Linked DNA regions of Schizosaccharomyces pombe. The protein of the gene in region 3 purifies or fractionates together with the protein of the main gene of each other region. This does not show direct contact. Each region holds a gene or a part of one and is shown on either strand. Other genes may lie near its edges.

The links. The genes of interacting proteins can lie anywhere in the genome.
Region 1: the proteins of mkt1 (region 3) and mra1 purify together in Schizosaccharomyces pombe (affinity purification with mass spectrometry, with the first as the bait; one study listed by BioGRID). This does not show direct contact.
Region 2: the proteins of mkt1 (region 3) and tea4 purify together in Schizosaccharomyces pombe (affinity purification with mass spectrometry, with the first as the bait; one study listed by BioGRID). This does not show direct contact.

The regions. Positions count from the first base shown.
Region 1 is NC_003424.3:2,227,796-2,233,279, forward strand, and holds mra1 (rRNA (pseudouridine) methyltransferase Mra1), read right to left. Parts: upstream 3,659-5,484; 5' UTR 3,618-3,658; coding exon 2,538-3,617; 3' UTR 2,168-2,537; downstream 1-2,167. Other genes in the region: U3 snoRNP-associated protein Utp11, read left to right, coding at 1,220-1,969; protein Edc1, read right to left, coding at 5,354-5,484. UniProt on the Schizosaccharomyces pombe protein: S-adenosyl-L-methionine-dependent pseudouridine N(1)-methyltransferase that methylates the pseudouridine corresponding to position 1189 (Psi1189) in S.cerevisiae 18S rRNA.
Region 2 is NC_003423.3:586,702-593,601, reverse strand, and holds tea4 (tip elongation aberrant protein Tea4), read right to left. Parts: upstream 5,244-6,900; 5' UTR 4,874-5,243; coding exon 2,408-4,873; 3' UTR 2,168-2,407; downstream 1-2,167. Other genes in the region: fap1 (L-pipecolate oxidase), read right to left, coding at 5,821-6,900. UniProt on the Schizosaccharomyces pombe protein: Cell polarity factor essential for the bipolar localization and function of structures containing the cell-end marker tea1 during the normal cell cycle.
Region 3 is NC_003424.3:1,014,127-1,022,911, forward strand, and holds mkt1 (post-transcriptional RNA stability regulator Mkt1), read right to left. Parts: upstream 4,928-8,785; 5' UTR 4,750-4,927; coding exon 4,743-4,749; exon of another isoform or gene 4,702-4,742; coding exon 2,604-4,701; intron 2,544-2,603; coding exon 2,240-2,543; 3' UTR 1,977-2,239; downstream 1-1,976. Other genes in the region: dnf1 (P-type ATPase), read right to left, coding at 1-1,202; oac1 (anion transporter), read right to left, coding at 5,486-6,448; protein toe2, read left to right, coding at 7,791-8,681, 8,721-8,785.

The DNA.
Region 1 (5,484 bases), 1.2 Mb from region 3:
TTTGCTAAACAGTCATTTTATAAAGAGTTCGTTCAAGTACCAGCAAGTTAGGATTAATTTTAATATTATAGATCCTTTTTTTTTTTTTTTAAATTTAAAAATAATATTTAATATCAGTTCGAATTTAATTATATTTCCCATAAAAAAAAAAAAAAAAAAAATACACATTTAATAACGCATATTACATGTAAATATTAGTTCCCTAGTTTTTGCTAGGCTGCAGTCAATATTCTATATTGTACAAGCATTAAGGGTAAATTAAGAAAAAATCAAAGTACAAATGTTTAATGAATTAAATCTTCTGAATCGAATAACAAAAATCTAATATACTTGCTATGAAACTCTCGGTTGTGCCAAGCGTTTTACACTCACCAGTAACAGCTTTTTCTCTTCTTTGATCTATTCCCTTTTCATTGTGGGAAGTGTGTAAAGACAACTTGCCGTCAGCTACAGCATCTATAACTGCTTTGAGGATACAGTAAACTACGATGACTATTTAACAAAATCTTTTTTTAAAATAAAGCCATACTGAAGGATAATCGGTATAACAATGCTTAACATTATTTACCAATTCAGTGGAATTACAGAACAAAGAGATGCACTTTTTGTTCAATTGAGTTATGTCAACCACAAGCACATACATTGGGAACGACGGCATCGTAATGGATAAGATTAAGGACATTAAACTTAAGTAATGTGTAATGTAGTGAGATATCGATGACAGTTAATGTTAACGACAGCATAGCGATTAGTCCTAATGCGTTGCTCTTACTTTCCTTATTTTTTATTTTTCAGTAATTAATAAATTATCTTGAGGCTTCCGTTCCTTTTGAGCAGAATAAATCAATGAATAAAAAGTTTTATAGAGAAGTTAAGACAATTATTTTTTAATAATAAGTATTGCTAAACTGATAGATATGGGCTGCACATTAACAGTAAACTTTCCAATTCTACTAGAAAGCTAACAAGCCACCATTCAGCCAAAGACTCTTTCTAAAAAATTTGATTATATCTATAGAGTATTAACAGTATAACTTCAAATCGTAAACAATACAAGCACTAGCCAAGGGGGTAATAGCGTATCTTAACGTCCTGAGCACATTGCACGCTAACACTTGTAGTGCCCTAAACACAAATATTTTGCAGAGGCGAATCTGCTAAAAGCCAATAATTCGGTTCTTTGACAAACAGCCAAACATTAACCATAACTTTTTTAAAGATGTCTTCGTCTTTTAAAAATGCAGGTCAAAGGAAAAATCATCGAGAAAGAGCTCAGCCTTTTGAAAGACGAAAATGGGGTTTGCTAGAGAAACGAAAGGATTATGCGCAGCGTGCTCAGGATTATAAGACAAAGCAAAAGAAGTTAAAACGTCTTCGTGAAAAAGCCCTTGAAAGAAACCCTGATGAGTTTTATCATGAAATGACACACAAAAAGACCAAAAATGGAGTACCCCTTGAACAGCGCGAGGATTCAACCATCGATATGGACACAATCAAAATTTTGAAAACTCAAGACATTGGCTGGATTCGGCATCATCGCAATGTTGAACGTGCTAAAATTGATCATTTGGAACAACAAATGCATACTGTGGGAGCTCATCGGAATAAAAATGAATCCAGGAAGCACACCATCTTCGTAGACAATGTTAAAGAGGCAAAAAGTTTTAACCCAGCTGAATTTTTCCAAACTACAGATGATCTGGTTGGTCGAACCGAAAATCGTGTAAAGAAAGATCAAATTGAAAACAATGAACTGACAAACCAGCCTTTTTCTGGAAAATTGCACTCAAAATTAAAAGAAAAGGCGGCGACCGAGCTTCTTTTGCGCCAGAAACGCGACAAAAAATTGGCGGCTGCTGAAGAACGTGTCGAGCTTGATAGACTTTTACAGGGAAAAGGAGGCCGTCAGAAAAAGAAGGTCGTAAACGGAAAACCGGTATACAAGTGGAGGAATGAGAGAAAACGATAATTTCCTTAAATTGCTCCTAACATAATTGAGGAACTGTTTTCAGTTTGTTGTGTTTGTGATTTACTGGTTGTTATTTCGTTTCTTTCATTTAGTTGTACCTTTTTTGTTATTTATCATTTTCTCTATTTAGTATGAATGTACTTAGGTTTTGGAATTTTTAACGAATGGATTGCTTATTTATGAATAATTTGGTTTAATCATCTGTCTAATTCTAAGCAAATATCCATCTATTTCTCATATTGAGCTTCATAGTGTTGTGAGTCATTCAATATTACCGAATTATTTTATCGGTGAGTATTAAGAGTTTGTCTTAGGTTGTAATTCCCAAACTTTAAAAGTGTATGGAATGGTTTAATTCAATGCCTTGTAGTGTGATAAATTGTTTCCTTTCTTTTTGTAATTGCAGAAGCTAGAATTATAGTTGTTATTTTATTCTAATACTCTCTAAAGAAAATGTAAAGTACGAAACGTACCAAAAAATTCAAGCTATATCAAAAAGTGAATATCTATAGCACAGGATATAAGCTGAATAACAATGAAGACAATGCAAAAATTTTTACCTTAATAATTATACAATTCCTAGAAAGTCTTCCATAGAATGAAGAAATTTAGAGCAAGCAATACTTGCACTCAGAGGGTAGTCACTAATACTGATTTTTTCGTCAACCCAACCATCCGAAAAATCGTCCGGACCATGAGCCATAGCACCAATTGCAATACAAACCGATTGGTTGGGCTGTAAAGTCTCAAGATACTTGCGAGGAGGAACAGTAGGAGCATCAAAAGATAATGTTGCCTTTCGACAGTTCGGAGGAAGGTAGTCTGTAACTGGATTTTTGATCACCTTTAGAAGCTTTTCATTGCCATTCACACTACGAATAGAGAGCTTGTGAAGAAGCTGCACCATCAAACCGGAAAAACGTTTGAAAGTTCTAGGAATACGAACAGAGGGATTCACTTCAATCAAAACTTTCTTAGCTGTGTGAATGTACACTTGAAGACGACCTGCCTTATTCAGTGGAGAATCCAAAAGAGTCAATAAGCATTGATGAGTAATATCAGGACGCGCTTGAGCAATGTTACGGTTTAACTTTTTTAAAATACCTTGATGATCATCGCAATTTAGAAGTTGATATTTTGCATCCTTAGCCTTGCCAACTTTATAAATTTCCAAACATGCTTGGTCCAATACGACAATCAAACGCTGTGTTGTAGTATCATGAGAACCAATTGACCTCGCTGGTATTGGCGCCATATGGGTAGTAACACGATGAACCGACCCTGCAGGAAGTGGACGAGCTTTGACGGTTTTGGAAGAAGCACCATTGGGATCCTCCTTTTCTTCATCTGACTTTACTACATTATCTATTTCTAAAGCCTCAACACCCAACTCTCGATCGATAGACTCTGGCTTTTTCGAAAGAGCTTCAACAGAAGCTTGATTCTCACGAAGTCGTTGTAATTCTTCATCTTCAATAGAACCTACTGCACCATTACTCTGCTCCTTTTCATCTTGCATCAATTCACTAGCAGTTTCACCTGACGTTATTGTTTCACTCGATTGACTTCTCTTTATGAATTTGGGTTGATTGGTTTTCTCAGAAACCTCTAAAGAGCCTCTAGACTTCCTTTTGGAATAAGTAGGCATGAATGATGAAAAAGCTAGTCTACCAGATATTGGGTTTCGACAAAAAATAATGGCTTGAGAAATTTGCTTTTGGTGGTAGCTACAAATAACTATCAGATCTAACCTACCTTGCTTAAACAAGATAACGCATATTTACGAACTTACGATCCGCTTAAACCAACAAGTGTAAAACCAAACATATCACTCGCGCATTGAGCTGAACAAAACAATGACTTATCTAAATCAACAAAAAAATTATAAAAAATCTACACACGCCGAAAATTTGTTTTCAATGAATTCTATATTAACTAAAAAAATGCAGGTAATATAAGTCCATCTTCAGCAAAAAAAAAAAAAATAAAAATAAAAATAAAAAAAAAACGGAAAAGAAGTAAAGGAAGTGGATTAAAAGGAATGTGTAAACAGGTATCGTCAACACACAGAAAAACCGTGCCTTCTAATACTGTTGCACATATCAGGTGGATAAATACACAAACGCGACACATCAGTGACGGAAATATGTGTTTATATTAGAAAAACTAAATCACCACTTAATGCAACATTATTTGTAAACAATGAAGGAAAGAGATAAATTTAAAGTTTTAAAAAGAAATGATTCCAAAACTATTTACAAATAAGAGCAATAAATGTTGCCGTAATTCAGTCTTTACGTAAAAACGATTTGCGAGTGAAAGATATTATAATCAACGATAAGTTGACTATCTTGACTAGCAATGAAAGCTCAAAAACCGAGGGCTTGAAAATTGCAAACATTCAAAAAAAAAAAAGCATAAAGCACATTGCATGTACTCCTTGAGCGTAGAAGATAGGTTACAACATTCGCCAAAAAAGGTGACCACATAAATATCACTTATATTAGCAAACATCATGTATATCATGGACGAAAGTTTAAAAGGTTGGCAACCAAAGCCAAGTTCATGAGAGGAAAAGAAGATTATAACTATAATCCTCGACACAGGAAAATAAGATGTACTGTCATCGCAAAGCAATAGGCAACACGTCAGTAATAATTAGGAAAATTAAAAGAAAAAAACACAAGAGAAAAAAATGTACGAGACCGGTGAAACAAGTTTCAAACAAATCTCGATAAAAGCACAACGAGATTATTAATAGCATAATAAAAACTAGCCAGAATAAAATTAATGCAATATGCAGATCATAACACCCAACGCTCATAAAAAAGGTAACAAATGCCCATTCTAAGCATACAAATCGAAAAGTAAACGAGGCACATTTTCGATAAATAGTCATTGACGAACATTTCCATATTATAAATGAATTGCTCGCTCAATTAACTAACAAGGAATAAGATGAAGTTAAGGAAATCTAGTCAATAAAAATCAAGATTTCAAATCCAAGAAATCCATTAAAAACGTTGGCATTTCTTTTAACTATAAGCCGTTAGAAAAGGAATTCAGTAGCTTTTGTATGAAATCCTCTAAAAACCAAAAGCGAAGGAAACAAAATTAACCCATATAGAGAGCTAAATTCTATAATCCAAAAAAACAGAAAGACAGAGGTACATAGGGTGATAGTAAGAAAGTCATAATACTAGCAAAAATACTAGACTATGATAAATTCTCTTGGCCAATGTTCAAATAAATAGTGCTACAACGAACACGTGTAGATAAACGCGGAGACGAAAGAAGGTGAAACAAAAAAGTGGAATAGTTAGAACAGAACACGAGGCTTAAAAAGGTGATATGTCCTTAGACATAAATAAGCATCCAATGAAACTATGCACTTCCTTGACGCAGCATACGGAACAAGCGCTGTTCACGATCGCGATGAAACAATAAGTCTAGGGCAGAAGTAGAATGACAATGAATGCCGTTATTAGGGGAATTCAAAGTAGGGGTAATGTTAC
Region 2 (6,900 bases), on a different chromosome or scaffold from region 3:
ATTAAATAAAGAATGATTTTATTATTATGAAGAATAATTACACTTCTTTGAAAAGTCCTCTAGATGAAGAAGATGAATTGAAGACAGATCATGAAATCGATTTGGAAAAAGGACCCCTCCCAGAATATGATTCAGAGGAGGAAAGTACATTGCCTCCATATTCAGGTAAGAATTGTAAATAATAAGAAAGGAATTACTCAATTGAAAGTTGAAACTTGCCAGTGCTGTAAAATAACTTGGATGTGATCATTGTTTACAGTTGGCATATCCAACACTTGATCAGAAAGATGGGTAAATTTAATATGATATCTTTTTAATTGTGTATGCTAATTATCATTAGGTTATGAGGCCAAACAGCAAGTGAATGAATACACAGCTGTTCCATTGCGTGAGATGAACCCCGAAAGTGAAGCCTAATTATATTGTTAACTTTACTAATTGTATGATAAAGTCGCTTTTTACACGAGGCTTCTTTTCTTCATAAGAATGTGCAATAAAGAAGCGCCTTTATGATTGTGATTTACTCAAACAAATCATAAATCTGTTTAAAGTATGTCACATGTATTTTTATTGCATATTTCATTTCCTGACGAATTGGATGAGCAAGTGCATTGCTTGAAAGGTTCCGTGAATAACATACACTGGGCATTGAATATTATAATAATGGTTTTATTTATTCGTTTTAAAATAGCAGTTCACTAATTGACTGTTATCATCAACTAATGAAATCGAAAAACTCGTTGTTTCGCCTTGTTAAATTCACAATTTCATTGTCGTTTATTGCATTCATTTCTTCTTCATCTTGATTCTTAATGAATCAAACTTAATTATCATTTTTTTCCTTTGGTTTAGTGGTTTACTTTAATACAAACAAAATTAATGTTTACAAAATAATGAACAGCATAATAAAATATTGTGATTTAGAACGATGATTTGTTATCGTAATAATGTAGTTATTGTCTAATGTGAGAATCCACTGTAACGATTAACAGATTTCCTCTAATTTTTTAAGCTACTTATTACTTTCTGTTGCAAGTAAAAAATCATGAATTTTAAGGCTCAGTGTATAAGGGTTTGCATATAATTCAGTTCTCGTTTTGTGCTGCATATTTAATTTTTTGAGTAGTCAAAAAAATTAGCACAAGTTGTAAACTTCACATTGTCCACTCGTGGTGGCGTGTTAAAAAATTACTTGATGTTTTAAACTAATACTTCTTATTTCGCATTCATAAAAAACAATGTTGAGAATAATCATGTATGGTGGTTGTACAAATGAAAACGGGTCAATTCAAAATGCATTTCATATCCGTCTCATTCTAAATTTTTCGTTATTTAGTCGCTTCGAATTATTGACTTTGTTTACTGTACGAACTGTTTTCTTTATTTAGCGCATATTGAAGATATTTGCATACTTTTTAGGAACTTTGTTTCTTCCTACAAACTCAATTCGTTACAGAAATAACATTGCTTTGTCTTTCCAATTAATAACAAGTCGTAAATTTGTAAAGGAATAAAAATTTTATTGTTCATTCTTACTTTTCCATGTTCCTTTACATATCTTCGTGCAATTACTAAAAGAATATTAAAAGTCAAATTTGAAAATTTCGCCCTTCAATTATGATGATGGTGAGAAATTGGTAGTCAAGATGCTAATTATCATCTAATTTAGCGTGAAAATTACCAGTGAAAAAACATAAATTATTTATTATGAGACAATCAATATGCCTATCGCTTACAAAATATACATTTAAATACACCGTTGGTTTGATGATGAATCCGATACCTTAAAAGTAGAAGCAGATGATATTCTCATATTAATGATTAATGAACATGTTCATCGTTTGTTAATATCTCATTTTTTTCGTTTAAAAGAGAAGAGAAATATTTTTTAATAAGAATCGCTATAAATCGTGCTAATTTTGTTTTTTAATACCCTATTGAATTTGATTCATCATGCCACATAAGTAAAGTACACTGGCTTATTTTTACGGATGCATAAAATCTATCATACCCTCAAAGCCTACTACTATCTGCTTGAGTAGTTTACATTTTCACTGCTCGCATTACTGTACAAAAAATATGATGCAGCGATACTATAATTTGAAATGGCATATAAGATAATTACTAGCTCATTTAATACTTCGGTAGATTTTACTTAAACACATTTATTTTATAGCGCTCAATAATCCGAATCATACCCGCACATTGAATTTTAGACCTTTATACAACTATGGTATGCTGTTAGTTATTAAAAAATATTATTAACAAGAAAAAAAAGTCAAACATAAAGACATTAACAAACAAATTTTTGAAACAGTTTAATCAAACAGAAAACTGATTTATAACGAGTGTAAATAGTTTGATAAAGGGGAAAAACATGGTATAACTTTTAAATTAATCAAAGATTTCAGCGATTCGTATTTAAGAGGGAGGCCATCTCATCTGATAAACCCTTCAATACGTTAGCAAAAATATCATCCAAGTCCGAGGACACCGATTCACCCTCGATATTACGAGAAACTCGGCGGGATGCCCTTACTCCCGCTGATTTTACACTCCAATATAGCCCGCTAAGAGAGTCTGGATCCAATATAAACTCTCTCAACCGACGATTAAATTCTTTGTTTTTAGTACTAACGTGGTCGTTATCGTACGCATGGATATCAGAAGCATGAGCCGAATCAACGAATGGCACCGAAGAGGAGTTATTATTTAATTCCGCAACCACAGATTGCTTGAATGGATTTTCATCATATTGCAAAGAAGCAGGAGAAGTGATAAGAGAGGAAAAGGAACTAGAAGAGGTAGATTCCTCTGTGTTCTTTCTTGGTAGCAAATCCTCATCGTGTGAAATCGAAGAGCTCGGGATTGCACTTGAAGCATCTAACTCAGGTGTAGGTATAACCATTTCCTCATTACACTCCAATGGAGCCGGGGATTCGTGTAGTAGCTCACGCATTTCGCTTAATTCATCTGCTAAACTTGTAAATCCACCCGCAAAACTTCTTCTGTTTATTTCGTTATTTACATGATGGTTACTCAATGTTGATAAATCTATTGAAGATTGAGAAAATGCTTTACGCTCCGCTGTTATGTATACAGAAGACGTTGTGCACTGTGCATCACTTTGCGAGGAAGAATCAACAGGTAAAGACATCTGACGAAGAAGCGAACTTGGTGATAATTCAACCTTATCTGCTTGCTTTCGGTTTTCGCTGTCTTCTTCGTCATCCTTTTGGAATCCTTTTGTTGGAGAGGATGGAGTAGATGAAGAGTATAATCGAGGGGAAAGAAGCTTTTCAGATGGCATTTCAATCGATACCGAATGTCGAATAGGGTACACTTCTAATTGTTTTAAGGATTGAACTGATAAATTATTGGGCATTTGACCAGAAATTGGTTCCTTTTCTACATCGTTTGGGGCATCCTGAGTAACATTAGATGTGTCAAAAGAGTCACTCTGAGAAACTATAATTGATTTTGGTGCATTCAATGAGATTTCCTTGTTATCACGAGATACATCATGAGTAAAGTTAGAGGATTCCGATACGGCGGAATAAGAAGAAGGCCGCAATGATTTATCAGTATTAGATGTAGACGAATAAGAAGAAAATGAAGCATTCGATTGCATTGCGTCAACTGATAGTGATCTTCGCAATGGAGAATCAACGGTTGCAGATGAAGCAGTTTTATGCTTATTTGCTATCCAAGTACTGTAAAGTGAAGGATCAGACTGGGTGGCATTGCCATATAATTCCTTGTTTCCTGCTATTGAGATATTTATTTTACTAATATTCGAATTTTCAGCATCTGGGTAAGCTGATGAGAATTTAGAGTAGGGGGAATGTGAATTTTTCGAATCTGCAGTAGTGGAAGAGCCATTAATTTCTGTTTCAACAATCTCAAGACCAAGGGGGGATGTACTTTGAAAAGAAGTAGAGTTAAACTGGTTAAACCCACCTTCCAGTTCAGTAAGATCCACGTAAGCAGGACTATCAGTTACATGATCCTCGGATTCGGAACGGTACTCAGCAGAGAGAGAAGAATCACTACTGTCCGAAAATTCTATTTCAAGACCATTCTCTGCGACAGTTCGGTTTACCATTGCCTCATAATCATTTTCAGAATCCATTTCATCATCGGAAGAATTAGAAGAACAAGTAAAGGTAACGCGTTTTATACGAAAATTTGGGGATGGAGCCTCCAAGGTTTTTTCCACAATATCTAAAGGCGGGAGAGTCACAGACTGCTGAGAATTGGACGTTTCCGAATTTTTATATTTATTTAATCGAGCCAAACGCTCTGAAGGAGTTTCAATGTATTCAGCAGGTAAATAGCCTATAGCCAAATTTTTGCACATTTTTACAAGCCACCAATAACTATTAGAATCATCTAATAAAATCATCATGTCTCCTTTAGTAGCATCAACTTGTCCTTCAACAGTAGCTTCGAAGCCTCGAATGGCATGAACAAAGTTGCAATCAATAACCTCTTCGTGAATAGATGGGGAAGAACTCAATTCTGCCTCATATAAAGCGTATTCTTCCTCTTCGTCCATAAAATCATCCTCATCTTCAGAGCGAAACTCATCATCTTCCACTACTTCATTATATTCAGTCCCACAATCCTCAAATTGAGACGATGTTAATGTAGTGTCTTCTTCTTGAGAATCGCTAATTTCTTGCGACGCTACAGTTTGGGGTTCACTATTTTCTCCTGATATAATCCTTTGTATCTCGAATGACTGCTCCAGATATTCTTCCGGAGAGTAACGACTTTCTATTATAGTGCTATCATTCTGTTGTGTCGGGTCAAAATGACTTTCCATAATTTCCATGCTGTCAGCACTACTGGCACTATTCATGTGTAACATATTGAAACAATGTAGTTAGCTCTCATGAACTTGAACAAATGTGCAAAAACAGCAAACACACTTTTCAGGTCTCAAAAACCGCTACTCCTAATGATAAAAACAAACACGTTGCAAAGGGATAAGAAACTCTCAACCTCATACAATTTATAACTGGTAAAAATTCAGGATACTGGCTAAAACGCTAGTGAAAACGGAAATACCGATCCTGATGAACATACACTCAAGTTGGGTTGATTAGAACGTCAATCGTAACAACGAATCCAGCAAAATCTTTTTGAAAATAAAACGATCTTGCTCTTCAAAATGTTAACATTCCAATAACTAGTGTAAAAATATAATATATTAACAAACTAAGTCGCCTCTAAATATTGCGGTAAGATATGCGTACTTGATGCTACGTAAATCCGAGATTGGCAGATAACGTAACAGTAAAACGTCGTTTAACCGATACAACGAATAAAAGCGAGTACGGTATTTGCATTTAAACAAAAAGCTTCTTGATCATTTTATTCTATTTTGATTTTTTTTTTTATGTTATTTCTAATTAGATTGTCAAATTTAATTATTTATAAATGTTTGAATTGCATCTAAGTATCAAAAACAACCTCAGTAAGCTGTGACGCTTTAGTTCTCTTAAAGCCAACGAGTTAGCTATATGATGCATATCTAAAATAATTGAAAAAAAGGTTTTACTTAGCATGCTTTGTAATATTAATTCAGGACATAAAGTTCGATGTAAAGGGTATAGAAAATGTCCCTGTTTTTATTCGAAAACAGTAAACCGACATAATCGTCTGGATGTTATAAAGTTGATGTTAATTGTTAATGTGTATACATTCAATGCTCGTAATATTTCGAATGAAGAAGAATCAATTAGTATTCAACACAAAAATAAGGTAGCCTAGAAAGATAGACGCTAGCCTTTCTTTTGTTTAGCATTGCACATCTTAGCTTAGCTCTTGTCGAGAGGGTCCAGCTCGGCTGTGGTCTAAAGCAGCAAACTCCAAATTTTCTTTCTTCCATCTCCACTTCTTCAATAAGGGCTCCTCTAACTCACGAAACATACACCCTATGCTATACTTCCCGAGGATTGGAAAGAATTTGAATCCATGGCCTGAACCACCTGTGCATACAAACAGATTTTCATAATCTGGATGATAATCAAATACAAACTCGGCATCGGCTGTGTCGGTATAATAACAAATACGGGTTTTGTAAAATGGCCTTTGACTAATTTCTTCGCCATAAGTACGTTGAAGGTTTCTGCGTAAATCTAATTCCGCTTCCTTGGGCAGGATAGGAGAAACGAGAGGTTTCTTTGGTGGAACAGATTCGACTTTTCCGGATTTAAGATTTTGCATTCTCGTAAATCCGTATCCATGGCGTGCAAATTTTAGATAACCATCGGGGGTAGGGGGAAAAATATAAAATCCAGTATCAAAATCTAAGTATACAGGATTTGTCAAAAAGCGGATGTACTCCTCAGGAGTCAATTTTATGTATGCGACTGGTTGACCGGTTGCCAAGAATCGTGTGTGGTCATTAGGTAAAAGAGATGCAGTCCATGCACCTGTAGCAAAAATAAGTTTTTCGGCCATGTAAGCTCCAGTAGTAGTCCTCACGCCTTTAACAACGTTTTCTTCTGTTATAAGCTCTTCAACAGTTCCCTCAGGTCCGCTAATGAAAGAAACACCGGCATGTGCTAAGTAATTAACTACGGATTTCACAGACTGCTCAGCGTTGGCCCATCCAGAACTAAAATTGGCATACCCAGCTTCTCCATCATTCAGCTCGCCAATCCATTTTGGAAAAAGTTTCCGCAATTCTTCTGTAGTTTGAAACTTTGCTGCTGACACACCCATTTTTGTCAGGTTTTCCAGACTCATGTCCCGATACTCAACATTGTCACGGCCAACAAACATAAGTCCTGATCCATAAAATTGCTCTTTAAAAAGTGGATTTGTGCGCCATTCCTCTAAAGCATCAATACCCATTGAACAATACACTGCATCCGCATAGTCTGAACG
Region 3 (8,785 bases):
GAGTTATACAAGGGGGGTTGCGGGTCAATGTTAGGTTTGACACTTAACGCCGGAGAAGAGGGGGAAGAGGGAGAGGGAGGAAGTTGAGGTGGATCTTCTGAGGTTCTTTCAGGTTCTCTTTCATCAGTTGATCGAATAGTACTCCTTGAAGCAGATTCTTGAGATCTACTTCTTCTCCACCGCCGACGACGAAAAAAAGATGAGTGCTCTTCAACAATAGGCGGATCTACATCAACGTGACGAAGAACTTGAGTTTGAATTCTATTTTCTACGCGGTCTTGGCGATATCGCCGATAATTATCAAACCCTTCACGAAGGATTGCAATTGAAATAAATATAAGTAGAGGGATGATTGTAGTGTAAGTACCGGTGGTTGACCAACCTGGAATCATTTGCATAATAGCAATCAGCAAAAAATAACAGTTGGCAGTTTTTGAAAATTGAGCAATGATCTGTAAAGGGACAAAATTGTATTTGTTGTACCGAGACGAAACAATGCTGTTTTGCATATAGGGCTTTCCTGTACGCTCATCAATTTGGGAGGAGTCATCGTAAGGGTTTATGATAATTATTCGACCATGACTCGACTTCAAATACCGTGTATCACGCGAAAACAAGTTGGATAAGAAATTGGAAATGAACTGCAAAGGATTTGGTATTGTAAACTCTTTATGCCGCGACTTTAAAAATTCCGGAGGAATTGGAGGACGCCCATTGAACACAGGTGATGCCTCACGAGGAGAAGTAGGCTCAATATCATCTAATGGGATTTCTTCCACAGGTCCCTCTAGGAAGGAAACATGTGCTTTCTTCTTTTTTCCCTTTCCTTTCGAGGTCTGCTCAGTTTTGGTAGATGGAGTTAACACTGAAACCATAGAATTAGCTGTCAGTTCTAATACCGACTTGAAAGATGATTTCAGTCTGCTATCTGATGGCGAATTAACATCGTGTGATTCGTCAACTTCAACAGAATCCAATTTTTTGCTGTCCCCATTTATATCAATTTCATCAAGCTCATTTTCATCAATTCCTAATGGAAGAGCGCTATCCTGAAATCGTACATGAATATCCTCTCTTCGTTCGTTAGTGCCATCATCTGCAGCGTTCCAATTAAATGCACCATCTTCTTCTCGATTAGTCGTTTCATTTAGAAAATTTGTTTCAAATCCATTGGAATCGCCTGCGATACCACTAGACTTCATAAGTGCATCTGAACAAATAATGTTGGTTGTTGCTAGATTCACACCAAATGGAAAATCAAACTATTATTTGATGGTAGCTTGCTGAACCACACGGGACATTGTGCTACGCCTTACAAAATGAGACTACACTAATAGCAGTTCATTAAAGTTAAGCTTAATGAACTCCACAGTAATGGCTTACGCTTGCTTAAGACTTTCTAAATAGTGTGTCAAGTCTCGCAATATGCAATGTAAACAATAAGTTACAGAGATTTTGATTAACTGTCAGTTACTTCAACTACTACCGTTTATATTTAAAAACTGACATTGTCAGAATTTTGTTAACTATCGACAAATATTATTAGATGTTAGTGTGAGAATTGGAGATTCTCAAAGCTAGCAAGTTGTCGTAAACAGCATCTATACAGTAAATATCTTAAAACAAAATTATACTATCCAGCTTGTAAGTGGTTAAACTAAGCAAGTCTTTCTGTAAGCACAAGGTTTTTAATTCGTGAAATTGATTAGGTAAAATTATGTTTCTGATGCGAATTCGGTTTTTTGTGAGTGAGCCAGTACACATAAACTAAAATCTAAAAAATCCGCTTGAACTTATCAAATAAGTTAAAAATTATTCCCATACTATAGTGTAAAAACAACGGTATAAGTTATTTTTTGACAGGTAAGTGTATTGCTAAAAATAAATATAGTATCCTTTAGAACAAATTAAACTATATCTATAAAAAAGTTTAAACATCATTGGGTTTTCATTCAAAGCTGTGCTTCTCTATTTTTCTTTCCCTTCCTTTTTTCGGGAAGAAACAATGTAGTTGAATATTAATATTAACAATACTTTACTTGTTCGAAATAATATCTCAACAATAATCAAGTGTAATCACATGAGTGTATAGCATGTTGAAAATGCTTCGACAGTATGAGGGAAAGTAATTCATGTAAATGTGCATTATGACTGTGCCGAATGTGTTAAAAGCTCCCGCTAAAAGAAGGATACTTCTCTCACTAATTTATTTCTATTCATAAACTACTAGTTCTGGTCTTCATAAGCCAAGAGAAAATATCCATTGGTTAGTAAGGAAGAGTTTACTTAAAACGAGCTTGCCAATGGCACTTGTATTTTCTGCTTCCTTAACCCCTTCCATAAAAGTTTTCCAGAATTCCAAAAACTGGGCAATATGGTTTTCCGCAGATCCAATGGTTGGGAATTCCTTTTCTATTATTTCATAAGCCTTCTGGATGTTTTCCTGTTGAGAACTGGCTTCTTGCTCTTTTGAAATGATTTCAAAAAAGCGCTTGACAACAAAACCTGAGACAAGGCTACCATTTATGTTTTGAAAAGGTAAGCTAAATTGGTTAGAAACTTTAAATATAAACAAAAAAGGAGAAAGAGAAAAAAACACGTACGTTTTTCGGATAAGTTTAGGATCTATTTTGCTTTTGTCGACGTTTCTGTTCAAGATGACCGAGGCAAGAATCATGGCCATGAGTTCCTTCAAGTTGGATCCGAAGCTAGTTTGTAGCTGATAAAACTGTAATAAATTCTCATCAACTATAGAAATTTTACTAACTTCAGGTCTCTGTTTTATTGGTAGAAATGTTGCAACCTTTGCCAAGAACTCTGTGGCAGAAGTTATGGATAAATCGGCGATGCTTGCACTTGAGGAGGAAAGTAAAGAGGGCTCTTTTAATTGTCTTAGTCTAAGAAGCTCGAATAAAACAACAACGGAAGTTTGGTTCTGTAAGTGACAATTTTCCAACGCTTTTAACAAGGGGCATCCCCAAGATGTTAATTGATGAGATGTTAAAACGAAAGATCTAATTTGCAAAAATCTGTAGCAAGAACTTAAGACGATTTCCGCAGTAGAAGACAGAGGATGCTTGGGAGGGTTTTTTATGCCAATATTACCTTCAGTGCAAAAGCTTTTCTTTACAAATACCGGATCGTTCAAAGCACGTAGTAGATCAAATAATACAACGGGTTCTTCCTTTAAAAAATTACTAGATAAATAACTCGGTAAGTTTTCTTCGTATATCATCCATGCTCTCGTATCATTATACAAAGGAGGATCATAGCTGTGCATTACCTTCAAAGAAGCTTGCTGATTATGGCCATGAAGGGAAACAATATCTCTGGCTTGGTAAAATCTGTTAAGCGGTTGGGTCAATAAATTTAGCCCCTGCGACCATATTTCTTCTAAATCGTCAACAAATCGCCGTTGATCCACAGCCGCTACAGCTGCTGCATTGTCGCGACCAGGATTTAAACCAGAATTAGCACCAGAAAATGTTCCTTGTGATGCTTTGTCACCAATATGTTGTTCAAGTATGGAAACAGGATCACTAAAACATCCAGATACTAAAGCACCTATCATTTTGCAAGGAATAAGACCGCGAGAAATGTAAAAATAAATCTCGTTGGGAAGACGGGTGCCAAAATATATATTTATGTCGTTAGGAACAGATTCTGTGGGAACTGGTGGTAAAGTGAGACCTTTTGTATCCATCACAATTCCAAACTTAGAGAAACAAACAGCCCTTTTGTACTGTTGAAGATAATCTTGAAAAATGGGCTGGGGAAAGATTTCAGCAAAATGAAGGACTGCACGATACGCAGAACCAAACATACGAACAAGCTCCATTGCGCTTTTAATTAGAAAAGTACCCTCAATCTGAGGAAATGTAGGAGAAATAGCAGTACCACACAATAAACAGGAATCGATGAACTGCTGCCATGAAAGGCCGTTCGTGTCTTGAAGAAGGGCATTTCCATCTAACCATGTGAATGAACTTTTAGCGGCCGAATTGATAGTTGTTTGAGTTGATGGGGATGAAGGGTCAGATGAGATTTTAACGTTAGAAGATGTGTTCATAGAAGTAATAAATTTTTTAACACCAAAAAGAAGCAGATCCGTGGAACCATAGATGGCATCGATGTAAGGTGAAGATGTGCCGTTTAGAAAATATGCTAATTGAGCCATAGCCAGATACGGGGCGACAAAATACTCCACATTACATTGATCTAAGTAAAACTTTACCTGGTCGCAAAGACGATCTAAATGATCTCGCTGATTGGTGTACAAAAGTGTTGGTTTACTTTCGCCGTAATTCGCAGGACCACTTGCGTCCATGCGGTACATATTACGCTGAATATTTGCATCATAAGGATCAAAAGCTTCGAAATCTGTCAATGCACTATGACTTTTTTGCTTTCCCGGCACTTCCAGCTGGCTGCTGGCTTCAAAGGTAAGAGGTATACCATTGAAAACAAAAATGGGTGTGATATTCTCAGTTCTCAACTGCTCAAGGAATTCCGAAATTCTGTGTTGTAGATATTCGGATTCACCATTTACTGCCAAACTTTGAAGTTCCTGTGGGGTAAAGGAATGAATAATTTGAGTCAAGTAAAAACTTGCGTCAATACCCAACTTACAGTTTTGAAAACTGCTCAAGCTAGATTTATGTTGATGCTTTTTGTCTATGATAAACAAATTCAATGAACGAACTAAAAAATTAGCAGATGAGTAGCAAGGTATTTTAACTTACTTGTCATTTTTTTTCTTTTTTTTAACTGAATTTACCAAACAGCAGTTTAAACCGTAAGGCGGTTTTTTTTTACTAAACCTTTAATAGATCCTTAAAAACAAACAGATTATTTTTATATGTAACGGATATATTCAGATTTTATTATGTTGTACTGAATAGAGGTGTCCGATCCGTTTATTAGAGTCAGCAGGAACGAGCAAATTAGTGAACACGAATACTACGATAAGAAGTTCAGAAAATATTTTATTAAACTAACATGATTTATCTAAAAAACATATAACTGTTGGCGAAATGTAAAGATTTCAAATAAAAACGACGCAAAATGAAGAAATTTATCCATTGTGACTACACAAAGCGGTAATGTTTCCAATCTTTAATTATAGAGAAAATAAGTATATTAATAACTAAATAAAAGGTAAGTTGATATACAAACGCAGCCAGATGCCTGAAATCCAAAAACAAATACGTACATATATTGAGATAACTGACGGATATATATTACAAAAGACAAAAACATGCCGATTGATCAAAAACAGCTTGAAAAGAAAAATCGACTTTTAAATGAAAGTAGAGTGGAAATAAGTAACGAGACAACGAATGTAAATAAAAATCGTTCTTAGATACAAACATCATTTCTTTACAATTTAACTGTTCACTTGATATACACCAAAGCCACTGGGGGTTTTTATGGTTTAGTACCAAAATTATTTATAAATAAAGAAACGTGCGTTTGAAAAAACAACTTAATCCTTTTGGAATTTCAAAAAGAGTTTATTGGTTTGCTCCACGAAGGTAAGACAGAAAATTGTGTGAGGAGCGATTCTGGCCAAGTGAGCACCAAAACCCTTATATAAGGCAAAGAATCCTTCAGAGCGGATTGTTTTAAGGATGCAATCAATCGGATTTTTATAAAGCTCCTTGTTCTTTTGGTTGTACATACGAGTCATAACAGTATCGAAAATTTGCATGGTGCAGCATACACCAAATCCAGAAACAGCACTAGCAGTTAAGTGTTTGATCATACCCTCTTCCAATAGATTGTAATGCTCAATCATGCGTTTAGCCCAATTATAGATAGGAAGCTGAACAGAGGAACCAGAGACAGTACGGAGAATGGCAGCATCAGCACCAACAAACAAACCCTTAACACCATTTTCCTTAATAATACGACTGAATGCATTAAATATATGCTTGTAACCATACTGCTGGCCAACGGGAAATTTAGGAGAATACGACTGCATGCGAGTCTTAACCAAGAAAAAGGGAGAGCCAAACAAGGCACCACATAAACCTGAACCGGCGCCACTTGCAACGTTAATAGCTAATTTATTACCCTTGGGATCATCAAGGAACCACGTATTCAGAGTACGTCGAATCGGTTCGTAAAACCCGAGACGACAGCCATTGAGGCAGATTTGATAAACATAAGCAGTACCAAGGCCTCGTTGAAGACCTCTTATACCTTCATGTCTAGCGATTAGAGAAAATGCCTGACCGACGCTTTTGTAAATTCGCTTAGAAGGATCCAATTTTGTCAATTGACCTTGAAGTTGAAAACGCGTTTTAATAACTTCGAAAGGATTTGTCAGTGTTACAGCACCACAAGCTGCAAGACCACCTGACAAAAATCCACTAACGGGACCAAGTTTTTTCACCTGAGTAGGATTGTGTGCAGGAAGGGCTTTGATAGTTTGTTTCTCAGACATGACTTAATATTGGGATTTTTTCTTCGAATTTAAACAAAAAAATCTGCCTCAAATGGCAATTCAATTTGCGTAGCAAGTGTTGGCCGAAGGAAAAAGAATTCTTGCAGTTGAGATTTTTTCAGTGATAATAGCCTTGATTAAATTGTGCGCGGAAAATTTACCATTGCGGCAATTTGGGAAGGCAAAACGTAACTTTCGTACGGACTCAAAAAATAAGCAAAATGATACTAATAAAAAAATTATAGATTGAATTGCAATTTTTTTATTTACAAGGCACCCTAATTGCTCTATACTTTTTCCATTTTAATGCTAAATTAAACAGGTCACATGTTACTTATGTTTACTATTTGAAAATACAGATACTAGAACGCACTTAACCTCTTTAAATTAAGGATTTACCTACAATCATATATATTTTTTTTTTCTTTCTCTGTCCTACAAATATTTGGTAGAATTTTAAAATTTTTTGAATAAAAGTCATTTGAAAGTTTGAGTAATGTTTGTCAACAATAAATGCGATCGTTCGAAGGAAGGAAGGTACACACAGTTAACATTTAACTGACTTTACACTTTAAAATAGGATTCGTTGGAAACGCATGGTAGATAATGTTAAAGTAAGACAAATGCAAAATCATAGTAGCAGTAGCTTTAGATGTCATTCACTTCTGCAATGTTGTACTATTATAAAGAAAATGCCATAAAGTGATTCAAATAAGTGCATGCTCTCAACCGTCTACCCTTAACCAAAGTTCTTACTCAGACAATTAAGATGCCTTTTAGTAAGATTTTATACATACGGGGTATAAATTGTGATCAATGAAAAAAATGCAAGTACTAAATTTGATGGATAGTTTGTCGCAAGGCAGGCAATTGAATTTTGAAATAGAAATCAGTCATATTTAAGAATGGTAATTTGTTAGTAAATGCATTAAATCCCTGTGTAAATTATATGTTTCTATTTGAGTGCTTTACGTATCTAACGCATGTTATCCGAAAGCTGTCTGCTGTTGAGATTGCTTACTATTGAAATTAGTGGATATTTATAAAAGTTGTCCAGTGTGCCTTGTGTTTGGTGTTACGAATTTACTTTTCGCCAACATCCAAACACAAGTGTCTTTGGTTCAAAATCAGTATAGCAATAAGATTTAAAGATATAATTCTTGCCTATTTAAAGCCAAGACTACTTTTTTATATATTACGGAATTAACTTCTTTTCGCTCCTGTCAATTGGTCGCAAGTATCATTTTTTTGACGTCTATTGATTCAAGAATTAGAAGAATCTAGCATTCAATTGTACTTTATCTTTCACAATATTATATAACTTGATGTTTAAGAAGAGCATATGAGTGAAACAACCAAGTCTGGTTCTAAAAAATCAGGGCAGACATCACGTAGGGCGATCCATTCGTGTTTGGCTTGTCGAAGAAAAAAACTTAAATGTGATCATGGAAGACCTTGTTCCAATTGCTTAAAGCGATCAACAATCCAGTCATGTATTTATATAGATCCTGGGAAAACTAATTATGACAAGCGCTTTGAACGGGGTAGCGAAGCTGACGAATTGATAGATCAGTTACTATCCCGAGTTAGCATGCTGGAAAAACGTTTAAATGAGGTCGGCACTAAATCGCAATCTGATTATGAAAACCAACAATCTCATAATCTTCCTTCCACGCCTTCGGCAGATGCTGAGACACAGCGAAACATTGGTTCTCTTTCAGTATTAGATGATACAAAATCACAATATGCTAACTACTCGTCCTCTTCACACGTACTCTGGCATTTAAGGAATTATCATTATCTTAACTTAGATCAAGATATTCAAGAAGAAAACGATTCTCTGATTAGTCCGTTTTTTTTTCGAATATCCCCCAATGAATCTGCATACGACTATTTACCCCCCAAAAAAGTATCGGATATTTTAATTGAGCAGTTCTTTTTTCGGTGTCATATGCTCATTAATGTTTTACACAGACCAACTTTTTATGTACGATATAATGATTTTTGGGAAAAACCGCACTTGCGAAAACCAGCTTTTACTAGTTTATTATACGCAATCTATGCTAGTGCATTACTAGCTACACCTGTTGAAGTGCAAAAGACATGGGCGCTTGGTGAAGACGAGAGATATCTTCAGGTAGATTATCATCAAGCTTTTCGCTACGCACTGGCTTCGTCTAATTTTCTGTTTGAACCAGATCTTAATGCTTTGCAAGCTCTTGTTCTTTGTCAGGTTTGTGATATTGAAATGGGTTTAACTAACTCAATTTAGGTTGTCTTTGATTCTGACCGCATTCGCGCTCCACCTTCCTTAGTCGGCTTGATTCTTCACGTAGC